3 linked regions of the Drosophila melanogaster genome follow. The protein of the gene in region 1 purifies or fractionates together with the protein of each later gene. This does not show direct contact. Each region holds a gene or a part of one and is shown in the gene's direction. Other genes may lie near its edges.

Region 1 (3,754 bases):
TAAGGAGAGCGAGAAAGAGCGGGAGAGAGCGAGGGAAAGCCGTATGAATGGGGTTAGAGAAAGAGGCGGAATGGAATCATGTTGCCGGGAATGGCGAGAATGGAAAGGGAGTCAGTCAGTTGGTTGGGAAGAGTGCGGAGGGGGGAAAATGGACGTGGAAAACTTACCGCTCCAGCGTGTAGCGGACCAGCATGACAACAGCGGCGAATGGAATGGGCCATATGAGGTCCTTGTAGTTGGCGTGCACCACATCTGGACGCGAGCCGGGCGCAATGTCCGCCCAGGTTGTGTTCGGCGGCAGCCAAATGTGCGTACTCCAGAATACATTGCTGAACTCATTCAATATGTCCATGTTGCTGCTTCAGTTGCCGCTTCTTAATTTCTCAATTGTTTGTTTTCTTTTTCTTGGTTTTCCTTTGCTTAGCTTTCCAGTTTTTCCTTGGCGTTTGTTGTCACATATGTATATGCTTTGCTTTTTCTAAATATTCGCAATTGTATGAGCCTGTGTTATTGTGCCTTGCGAACAACAGCAACAATAACAGCAAGAACAACAATAAGCGACAACAACAGCAACAAGAACAACAACAGGAGCACCGGACACTAATGCACACTCACAGCGTAGCACAAACACACACTGGCAAAAAAACAAAAACCGCCGAATCGAATTGTTGTTGTCTTGTCTCGTTAACTTGCGCTTATGGCTTTTCTAATTCTACTTCTATTTCTATTTGGATTTCGATTTAATTCGTTTTTGGAAATGCTACCTTTGCCGTTTGTTTGGGAGCGTAAATGAAGTGAAGTTCCCTGACAATCTGTTCTCGACCAAAGCAATAGACTTTCTGAATTTCGGCTCGGTGTCGAGTCGGCCGCCGCTCGTTTCGTCCACTTAAACTTTCAGGATGAACGAAAAAAAATACTAATAGTATTTCCTCGTCGAGCAACAACAATACAGTGTGCCCAGAGACGGCGGAGCAGTAAATGTAACTGCAGCGCGACAAGTGTGCCCGTGTACGGGAAGACAAGGAAAGCCAGCAAAAATAAGGCTTTAGAAGCTACACAAAATACCAAATGCACTAATAATTTTAAAGAACTTTTAATTCACAAGTTTGCGAATTTTGTTTATTGCTTATTATTATTATTGTTCATTACGTTTACCACTAGTTTTTGAGAGAAATTATTATGCGCTACAATTAGTGTTGGTTTTTCGGTAAGAACTCATAAAAGTCAACTATGTAAAGGAAGTATGCCATGGACTATAATGGAAATTAGCAAACTTCATCGTTGAGACCAAAGGGCATATGTGTGTTCCCATATAGGGGAATTTTCCCGCTTATCAATACAAGTATGTGTGCAAAATTCTTGTCCAATTGTTGTCAGCACATGAAAACGGATAACTAACCATAGGTTATAGGAAGGATCCACTGTAGTTCTGCAATGCAAACCAGGGCTGGCAGCGAGAACACTGCTGTAAGCTAACAGCAAACTGTACTGTAAACAGTAGAAAACTGTTCGTGGTATTTAGTATTTAGCTAGTATTTTAATACCAACTTTTGTGCAATGCGATGAGAAATAAAGAAGAAGAGAAGAGGAAGAAACGCTCACAAACTCTTCGTTTCTCTGCATTAATACGCACTTTATTATTAAGTTAAGCTTTATTCCATTATATTATGGCCGAATTTCTGGACTCCGAGGCCGAGGAATCGGAGGTAGGTGTCTGCGGAACCCCAAAAACACTATTTCTAGAAGCGCGTACCGTTCGTGCGTCGTTATGTGTGCGGTGTGCGTTGCGCCTTGCGTGTGTGTACATACATATGTGCCTACATATATATTGAATTAACCAAATGGCTTTTCTTCGTTTTTCCCGCAGGAGGAGGAAGAATTGGACGTCAACGAGCGCAAGAGACTCAAGAAACTGAAGGCGGCCGTCTCCGATAGTAGCGAAGAAGAAGAAGGTGAGTTTTTCCACTGGAGCCGCTGAAGGCGCGTACAAATACATACATACATACATACGTATGTGGCGATCTCTGGCGGGTTTTTCACCCCTCTCACCATCCATCGATCGGAACAGTCCATATCCGGGATAAAGGCACCTATAACTGGCCAATGCCACACGCTTGCAACTTCTTTTGTTTACAACTTTGAGGTTAGGTCTTGTGTTTTTACCGTGCTACCGTGGCCATCAAATATCAGCATCAGCAGTAGCAATAGCAGCAGCAACAACAACAAACAGCTGCGCTCGTTCCAGTAAATAAAACAAGTGCGGCGAATTGGAAGAACGCGGCGTATTCCAAGAAATTGCAAATCAAAGCAGGGAGGGAGAATTAGTTCAATAGATGGAGCTGGAATAATCAATGGTTAGGGCTTATCTATATCGAAATCTAGGTAATTTATCAAATGTAGGTCTTTCTCAAAACCGGGTGAATTACTTAAATTTAAGCTTTAAAAACAGTTTTCAGTTGCATATGTATATCTGCGGCTACAATGAAGGTAAAAGGTAAACCGATATTCTTATTGCCCTATTCCGTAGACGACGAGGAACGGCTGCGCGAAGAGCTCAAAGATCTGATCGACGACAATCCCATCGAGGAGGACGATGGCAGTGGTTACGATTCCGATGGCGTCGGCAGCGGCAAGAAGCGCAAAAAGCACGAGGACGACGATCTGGACGATCGACTGGAGGACGACGACTACGATCTTATCGAGGAGAATCTGGGCGTCAAAGTCGAGAGACGGGTAGGTGTTCCCTTCAGGGAAGAACTATGTACTTTTTAAACTCCAATTGTGGCTCCAATTTCGAAGCTTAACTAACAAAGAATAACATAGCTGAGGGATTGGGGCTTCTATCTCCTCAAATATATTGTTTGAAATTATGTTTTCCCTTGTAGAAGCGGTTCAAGCGTCTGCGTCGCATCCACGACAACGAAAGCGATGGCGAGGAGCAGCACGTGGACGAGGGTCTGGTGCGTGAGCAGATTGCCGAGCAGTTGTTCGACGAGAACGATGAGGTATGCCACTAGTAATCCCTGACCACCAATTAATGCACAGTGTCCAACTGATTGCCCCTGATCCTACAGAGCATTGGTCATCGCAGCGAGCGCAGTCACAGGGAGGCGGACGACTACGACGACGTGGATACGGAGTCGGACGCAGATGACTTCATTGTGGACGATAATGGGCGTCCCATAGCCGAGAAGAAGAAGAAACGGCGCCCCATCTTTACAGACGCGTAAGTATACAAACTATAATAAAGTTTAGATATCAATAGATACGATTAATATAATCCAACCACAGATCACTTCAAGAGGGTCAGGACATCTTTGGCGTAGACTTCGACTATGACGACTTCTCAAAGTACGAGGAAGACGACTACGAAGATGACTCGGAAGGAGATGAGTACGATGAGGATCTGGGCGTCGGCGATGATACGCGCGTCAAGAAGAAGAAAGCGCTCAAAAAGAAGGTGGTCAAGAAGACAATCTTCGACATATACGAGCCCAGCGAGCTCAAGCGTGGTCATTTCACCGATATGGACAACGAGATTCGCAAGACAGACATCCCAGAAAGAATGCAGCTGCGAGAGGTGCCCGTAACCCCGGTGCCCGAGGGATCAGACGAGCTGGACCTCGAGGCTGAATGGATCTACAAATATGCCTTCTGCAAGCACACTGTTTCGGAACAGGAAAAGCCGGAGAGCCGCGAGAAAATGCGCAAACCACCGACAACCGTTAACAAGATTAAGCAGACGCTAGAATTT
Region 2 (3,665 bases), on another chromosome or scaffold:
CCTTCTGCATGTCCCTTGTGGCTGGCGCCGACATTGTGTTCCGTTTGCTGCTGCCCATCGTCACAGATCACCTTAGAATACCCTATCGCGTAGTGTTCCTGATCGGCATTGTTGGACTCTTTGTCGCTCGCTGTGTGCTTGCCGAGAATCAAACGCTGCCCGTGATCATCACCATGTCTGTGTTGACAGGCATGATGAAATCAGCCACTGTAATCAACAACAATCTCACCATATCGGCGCATTGCCGCTCGGAAAAACTGGCCGGCGGTCTGGGTCTGAGCATGATGTCCAAGGGCGTTATTGTTATCACAGTGGGCCAGCTGCTGGGATGGGTGCGAGACTACGCCGACTCCTACCTAATCTGCCTTTATGCTCAAGGAGTCATTCTGCTGGTGGTGGTTCTTGTTTGGACACCGGAGATATTGTACCGCCACCGCAGGCAGCGATGTGCCACCAACAAGTCCATGGAGACGCAGTCTATAGACGCAGCTGAAGTGGCCAAACTCAACTCCTAAATCTCTGGTCACTACCTGACTGGATAAGAGTTTAAGCGAAGGATATCGGTATTGACTGTCATGTGATAGGCGATGAAATGACTTCCCCGTAGGGAACATTCCACTCTCGCCGCAGTAGTTATCTGAGTTGTGAGGAAGGACCAGTGTCAGGAACAGCACTATCTGTATGACTATGCATCTTAGGTTTAGGTTTTCGATTATTTATTACCATTTTAGCCCCTAGACCTAACTTTTGTACTGCCATAAGAGCCAAAATACAAATTAAAGTATGCATATTACAAAAACCAGGTTTATTAGCATGAGACGAGTTTGCAACTCTTTCTCTGATCGATCTTACTTGGGTAGGTATACTATTTATTCCGAGGAAATGAAGCTGGGAGTGCTGGAAACAGCCGATGCGCCCGATTCTGTGTTGTAGAAGATGCGTCGCTCGATGCCATCCTTGGTGATGATGCCAATGCGCACCACACCACCGGAGCTGCCATCGTGGTAGATAGCGTGCTGGACAGCTGTTGGAGGAGGTTTAAATGGGATTCGATTGAAGGGAAACTGTTTTGGTTTTTTTGGGATTACCTACCCTTCTTGACGAATGTAACGCAATCCTCCAGCGCCATATTGGGGCGGTAGTGCTCCCTAACAAATCCGTAGATAAAACTAGATCCCGATCCGCCGATGGTGCAGGACTCGCGGGTCAGCATGCCGCCCAACGGGATGCTGTACACCTGGCCGCCGCGCTGCTCATCCCACCCAGCCACAATGATGCCGGCAAGCAGGGACTCGCGGTAGCTGTAGCAGTAATTACGGAACTCTGAGGCGGCCTCGAACACCAGAGCATCCTTGTTGGTCTGATTCTCGTGATAGTTCAGCGAGTAGGCCACAATGTCGGCAATGGCCTGGGTGTCGGCGGCCGAGCCACTGCGGCAGCAGTACACTTTGTCCGTGATGCGGGTCAGCTTGTCGGTGACCCGATTGGCAACATAGGCGCCCGAGCTGGTGCGCGAATCGGCTCCAATGACCACTCCGCCATCGAACTCCACTGCCATAATGGTGGTCTGCAAATAGGTAGGATTGTGCTCTTAGTACGAAGTTATGTGGCTGATGCTCTTCATACTTACACCAGTGCTGACCGGTGTGTCGGTGAAATCAAAGTCGGGCTGCATATTGATCTTTAAATTTGTTACAATTCAATTTACAATTGATATTTGTTGAAACGCCGCACGAACACGAAATGACTGGCTTGTTTTGGATAAGTGTTACCAGATGGCGATGTGAAATGAAATGCTTCAAATGAAAACATACACCTTTCGCACTGACAACAGTTCAGTAAAGTAAAAACGAAGTGCCAGCAGCCCTGCTTTGCGGTATATCGATAGTATCGATGTGGGTTCATTGCACATGTTGAATTTGTTTTGAATATTTGTTTTCTTGAATTAAGTCTAAAATGGCATACGTTGCACTGAGCGAAGCTGAAAAAACATATATTCTACACGGCGTGGAGGTGTGTTAAACGGTTATGCAAGAAATATAGTCTGTACCTTAAACTATGCGTTTCCAGGATGACTTTCGTTGCGATGGACGTTCACGACGAGATTACCGGCCCATGGACCTGGAAACTGGACTGGTTAGCAATGCCAGTGGATCCGCTCGCCTTCGGCTGGCGAACACAGACATACTGGTGGGCGTCAAAACCGAGATTGATGTACCCAACCCGCTGACGCCCGAGTTTGGTAAACTGGAATTTTTTGTGGATTGGTAATGATGCAACTGAAGTTCGAAGAATATGCCATAACATATATATTTCAGCTCTGCTAATGCCACGCCGGAGTTTGAAGGACGCGGGGGCTCGGATCTGGCCCAAGAACTTATTCTCTCCCTGCAGAACGCCTACGAATCGCCATTGGCCTTCAACTACCGCACGTTGTGCCTCATTCCGGGTCAGCAGTGCTGGAAGCTGTACATAGACATCCTGGTTAGACTCTAGTGTGCTTAATTATACCGAAAATGCTAATCCCTGTTCTCGCAGATTCTGGAGTGTGGCGGCAATCTACACGACGCAGTGTCGCTGGCCGCCAAAGCGGCTCTGTTCAACACAAAGCTGCCCCGGGTGACAGCCACCATGTTGGATGCCGGCATCACAGACCTCATCATATCGGACAATCCGTATGACTGCACCCGCATCGGCATCGAGACGGTTCCGCTGTTGGTCACAGTTTGCAAGATCGGTGATTATGTCCTGGTGGATCCTTCGGCGGAGGAGGAAGTCTGCAGCACAGTGAGCATGGTTGTGTCAGTTTCCATGCGGAATGGACAGGCATTCCTTTCGGGTACACACTTGACCGGCGGCGGAGCCATGCACCGGGACACCATGCGCAACTGTCTGGAGCTGGGTCTGGCCATTGGCGAGCATCTGGACCGGCTGCTCACTAAAATGCTAAATCTGGAGCAGCAGCGCGTCGGACTCAAGCGACCGCAAATAGTAGGATTTCTTAAATAAAGCGGCAAAGTCTTGTAATGAAAATTTACTATTTAAACGATCTGACTCTGACTTGGAGCTCGGCGCTCCGATTAAGCTTAATACTAAAAGCTATCTGGTGGCCAACTACTACTGGTCCTTGCGCTTCTTCGCCTGCCTGACGGCCGGAGCAGGCTTCTTCTCCTTGGGCTCGGGCTGCTTGCCCGTTAGCAGTGAAGTCAGCATTTCGCTGATCTCGGGCATATCGTTGCCCATCTGTGGAGCAGAGCATGATTCATATAATACTATAGTGCTGTGCTATACATGATCCTCACGGCTTACCTTTGGGAACTGCAGATTGTCGATCTCCTTCTTTGTCTCGGGATCGTTGATCATCTTGGGCAGCACCAGCATAAGGAGCAGAGGCAAGACCATCATTAGGACCATGGGGCTGAACAAGAAGTCGGTGATCTGTGTGGGTCAAGAGCAAAAGTTAGTTTTGTGATTCTTCCGTTGGTGGCAATATAATGATGCACCTTCCACTGCTCTCTGGTCTGGAAGTATTTAAAGGGCATCAGTGGCTTCACGCGCAGGGGATATGCCACCTGCATAATTTGGGCGGGCTGCACAAAGTTCACTTTGCGGGCGCGGAACTTGCCCTTGGGATTGATCTCGACGCGCACCTGCAATTGAAGAAA
Region 3 (3,448 bases), on another chromosome or scaffold:
TCAGGCGCACGGGCGAAGTCCACCTGGACCGAGTGATCGATGACCAAGTCGGCGGGGCAGATGGGATTGATTTTCTCCGGGTCGCCGCCCAGATCCAAAACAGCATCGCGCATAGCTGCAAAGTCCACCACAGCAGGAACTCCAGTAAAGTCCTAGTAGCAAGATATTATATAATTTAAATATTACTTTGCTAGATTGCCGTATGAAACTCACCTGCAGGATGACACGGGCCGGCTTGAAGGACACCTCCACATCGTTGGATCCCTGCTTGAGGGCGGGCGACCATCCCAGGATGCTCTGCACGTCCTTCTCTAGGATATGGAAGTTGTCGCAGTTGCGAACCGCCGACTCCAAGAGCACTCGGATCGAGTAGGGCAGTTGATCTACGCGTTGGAAATGTTAAGTGTTAATCAAAGTGTTTAGAATTTCATCACAGGTACAGTAAAGCCTCTTGGTGAGAGGACCTAAGACAATTTGCCGCACTAAACGTATGTATCTTTAAAAAACCTTTAAGTTGCACTTGTTGAATTAAAATTCACGAGTAGAGTAAAGAACCTCCCTTTTTCTATAACCGTCCACCTTAGTTAGTTTAAAGTGTGCTAGTCAGATAGCAGTCACTTCTTATCACAGGCACAATGATTACGTTTGTCCAGCACTTAATGCGATTCACAGGCGTCACTATATGGGAGGAGCCACCAAAGAAGCCCTCACCTCAGAACCCCGATTTCTGGACACGCGCGGTTCCAGTAAAAACATTCCACTGATCTTGAGATTTTTCGGAGTCATCGGACTACGACCCCAAATCAGCAGATCTGCGAAGTTTTAATTCGCTGATAAGTGAGCACGTAAAATTGGGAAATGGAAATCAAATTTCGGAGGCACACGATTCGTTATCACCGCTAGACGAGCCCCATTATGAGGCAATCTGGCGGTGATAACTTTCGCTTTCGGCGCAAGACAAGCCCGCCCATAGAAAACTATAGAAAATCCACTTAATGCTCCGGGAGCACCTTCTACTTGACATTGCCTGACTTGCAAATTGAGCTGTTCTTCTACGCTTCTTTTTCAATTCAGGGGTCAAACTCCAACTTCAACAGGTGCTTAATTAATCCCATTTTTGATATGCATGTTTAGCCTAGTTTATTGCGACCACGTAGACAGACACGCCCACTTTTAAAGCCTTCTTAAGACCACATCCACTTACCATATTTACTATCGATGGAGGCGAGGTCAAAGTACTTGTATGTTGTGCCGGCCTGGGAGAAAGTTTTCTCGAACTGGGCGAAGGGATTGGCGCCTGCGACGATACGAATGTGTTATATAAGCCACAGGATTCGGGGGACAGGGTATATGGTAGTCGAGGGAACTGCAAAGCTCCGGACTGGCAACCCACCTGACATCTTATTGGAACTCTTTACTGAACTTATTCCGGACGAGCAAAGCAAGAAACTGATTGGAGAAGCAGTTCGGATAGGAGCTGGCCAGCCTTCGCTGTCTATCGATAGCCAGCGATAGTTGCGTATATCGCCAGTCGGATCGACAGTGCATTTTATACATTATATATGGTGCATTATATTTTATAAAACGATAGCTTTATGTTCACTTCTCTTTTTCTAAAATGAGATTATAGTGTTCTGCGCTTGGTATGTTATTATCATATGTATTAAATGCAGTAATAACTATTCGGATATTTATGTAATACACCATCTTTTGAAAAGCCTGAAATTTGTGCAATTATCAGTAAACTAAATCGACGAAAATAATTGAAAGTTGTATAACATATGGTTCATTTTTAAAATGAAAACTCCACCCGCCAAACCTATCAGTAATCGACAGAGCTCGTGCAATCGCAACATCATATTGCACCGATATGTCGAGGGAAAATTGAAATCGTTATCGAAAATACGAGGCGATAGCACGCGCACGTTGTTTTCTTTGAATATTAGGAAAATATAATATGAATTTACCAGCGAAAATGGACGTGGAAAAGGATAAGCTTCGCCAGATGCACTGCGAATTCAATCCCTTGTCGCGTTGCGACGGATCCGTGATGTACAGCCAGGGTATAGCCGTGTTTTCAACTCTAGTACATGGCCAGAACCGGCTAACATGGTCTTGCCAATTTCAGGTGCTACAGGTCTCATAGGCGCAGTTCTCGGCCCCATCGAGGTGAAGACCCAAAACCTGAGCATAGATGGCAGCTACTTGGAGTGTAACTACCGACCAAAAGCGGGCCTGCCGCAGGTTACCGATCGGATTCGGGAGGCGGCCATTCGGGATGTGCTGGAACTGGCCCTCCTGTCGGAGGCTCATCCGCGCTCCAAGATGTCCGTGCAGATCCAGGAGCTGGAAGATCGTGGCAGTGTATGTTTTTGAATCTCCTTCATCTGTAATCCTTCTAACAATATATATATTCTATCAGATTGATGCCTGCGCCGTAAATTGCGCCTGCCTAGCCATGCTCATCGGAGGCCTGCCTTTAAAGTATAGCTTTGCGGCTGTCCACGCCATCATCAACGAGCAGGGCGAGTATGTGCTAGATCCGGACCAAAGTGAAACCCTCCACCAGCGCGCCAGTTTTACATTCGCCTTTGATTCTGTAGAAGGAAACCTTTTGTTGATCCAGACAAAGGGCTCTTTCAAAATAGCCCAGTTCAATGATATTGAGTGCCTATGCCTGGCTGCCAGTGCCGAGATCTTTCAGTTCTATCGCAACCAGGTTGCAAAGTATCATGGCAGGAGTGAGGCGACGGCTAAGAAGGAGGACGTCAATGAGACGTGATGTTAAAACAACTGAAACTACGATTAAAGCTCATTTTATTGTATTAACTGTCTGCTGTGAAAGTCGGTTATGTTGCTCAGCTCGAGGGGCGTGCCCTTCAGCACCTGTGAGTTGGATTCCTCAATGCGGACGGCCAAAAAGTCACCTACTCCAAACGATTTTCTGGCTGTGGAATCTCCAGATATGGGTACATATATAGAAGGAACTATGACCTTGATATTGGCATCATTCCGACCGAACCAGTGAGCATCGGACCTCTTGCTTTTCCCTTCTATAAGTATGAGCTGCTCCTGGCCTTCCATTTTACGATGTAGCTGTGTAGCTCCCTCTCGGAAAACCTGGACCATGCGCTGCAGTCGCTCATTCTTCACGTTTATGGGCACATCATCTTTGTAGCGCCGATGGGCAGTGGTCTTTTCTCGCATGCTGTAGGCGAACAAGTAGGCCACGTTGTACTGCACTTGTTGGATAAGAGATACAGTGTCTTGGAACTCCTCTTCCGTTTCACCGCAAAAGCCGCAGATAAAATCGCTGGACAGCCCCACGTTGGGCAAAAACTGTCTGATGTGCTGCACAAGTTCCAGATAAGCCTCTCTGCTGTAACCACGTCGCATCCTTTCCAGAACTTGGGTATTGCCCGATTGTGCTGGCAGGTGAAGTTGCTTG

Evidence for each region.
Region 2: the proteins of Spt6 (region 1) and Rrp42 purify together in Drosophila melanogaster (co-purification; one study listed by BioGRID). This does not show direct contact.
Region 3: the proteins of Spt6 (region 1) and Rrp46 purify together in Drosophila melanogaster (co-purification; one study listed by BioGRID). This does not show direct contact.

What each region holds. Positions count from the first base shown.
Region 1 is NC_004354.4:6,266,240-6,269,993, forward strand, and holds the start of Spt6 (Spt6), read left to right. Parts: upstream 1-1,557; 5' UTR 1,558-1,667; coding exon 1,668-1,706; intron 1,707-1,867; coding exon 1,868-1,952; intron 1,953-2,527; coding exon 2,528-2,733; intron 2,734-2,885; coding exon 2,886-3,005; intron 3,006-3,074; coding exon 3,075-3,226; intron 3,227-3,291; coding exon 3,292-3,754. Other genes in the region: schlank, read right to left, coding at 168-352. UniProt on the Drosophila melanogaster protein: Histone H3-H4 chaperone that plays a role in maintenance of chromatin structure during RNA polymerase II transcription elongation.
Region 2 is NT_033778.4:16,013,022-16,016,686, forward strand, and holds Rrp42 (Rrp42), read left to right. Parts: upstream 1-1,886; 5' UTR 1,887-1,956; coding exon 1,957-2,013; intron 2,014-2,070; coding exon 2,071-2,267; intron 2,268-2,318; coding exon 2,319-2,484; intron 2,485-2,538; coding exon 2,539-3,009; 3' UTR 3,010-3,029; downstream 3,030-3,665. Other genes in the region: CG8389 (uncharacterized protein), read left to right, coding at 1-515; Prosbeta1 (proteasome beta1 subunit), read right to left, coding at 870-1,024, 1,093-1,567, 1,631-1,675; EMC7 (ER membrane protein complex subunit 7), read right to left, coding at 3,118-3,243, 3,310-3,438, 3,504-3,650.
Region 3 is NT_033777.3:10,411,416-10,414,863, forward strand, and holds Rrp46 (Rrp46), read left to right. Parts: upstream 1-1,885; 5' UTR 1,886-1,957; coding exon 1,958-2,063; intron 2,064-2,128; coding exon 2,129-2,364; intron 2,365-2,422; coding exon 2,423-2,782; 3' UTR 2,783-2,817; downstream 2,818-3,448. Other genes in the region: Irp-1B (iron regulatory protein 1B), read right to left, coding at 1-152, 214-383, 1,205-1,297, 1,394-1,400; CG6345 (uncharacterized protein), read right to left, coding at 2,818-3,448.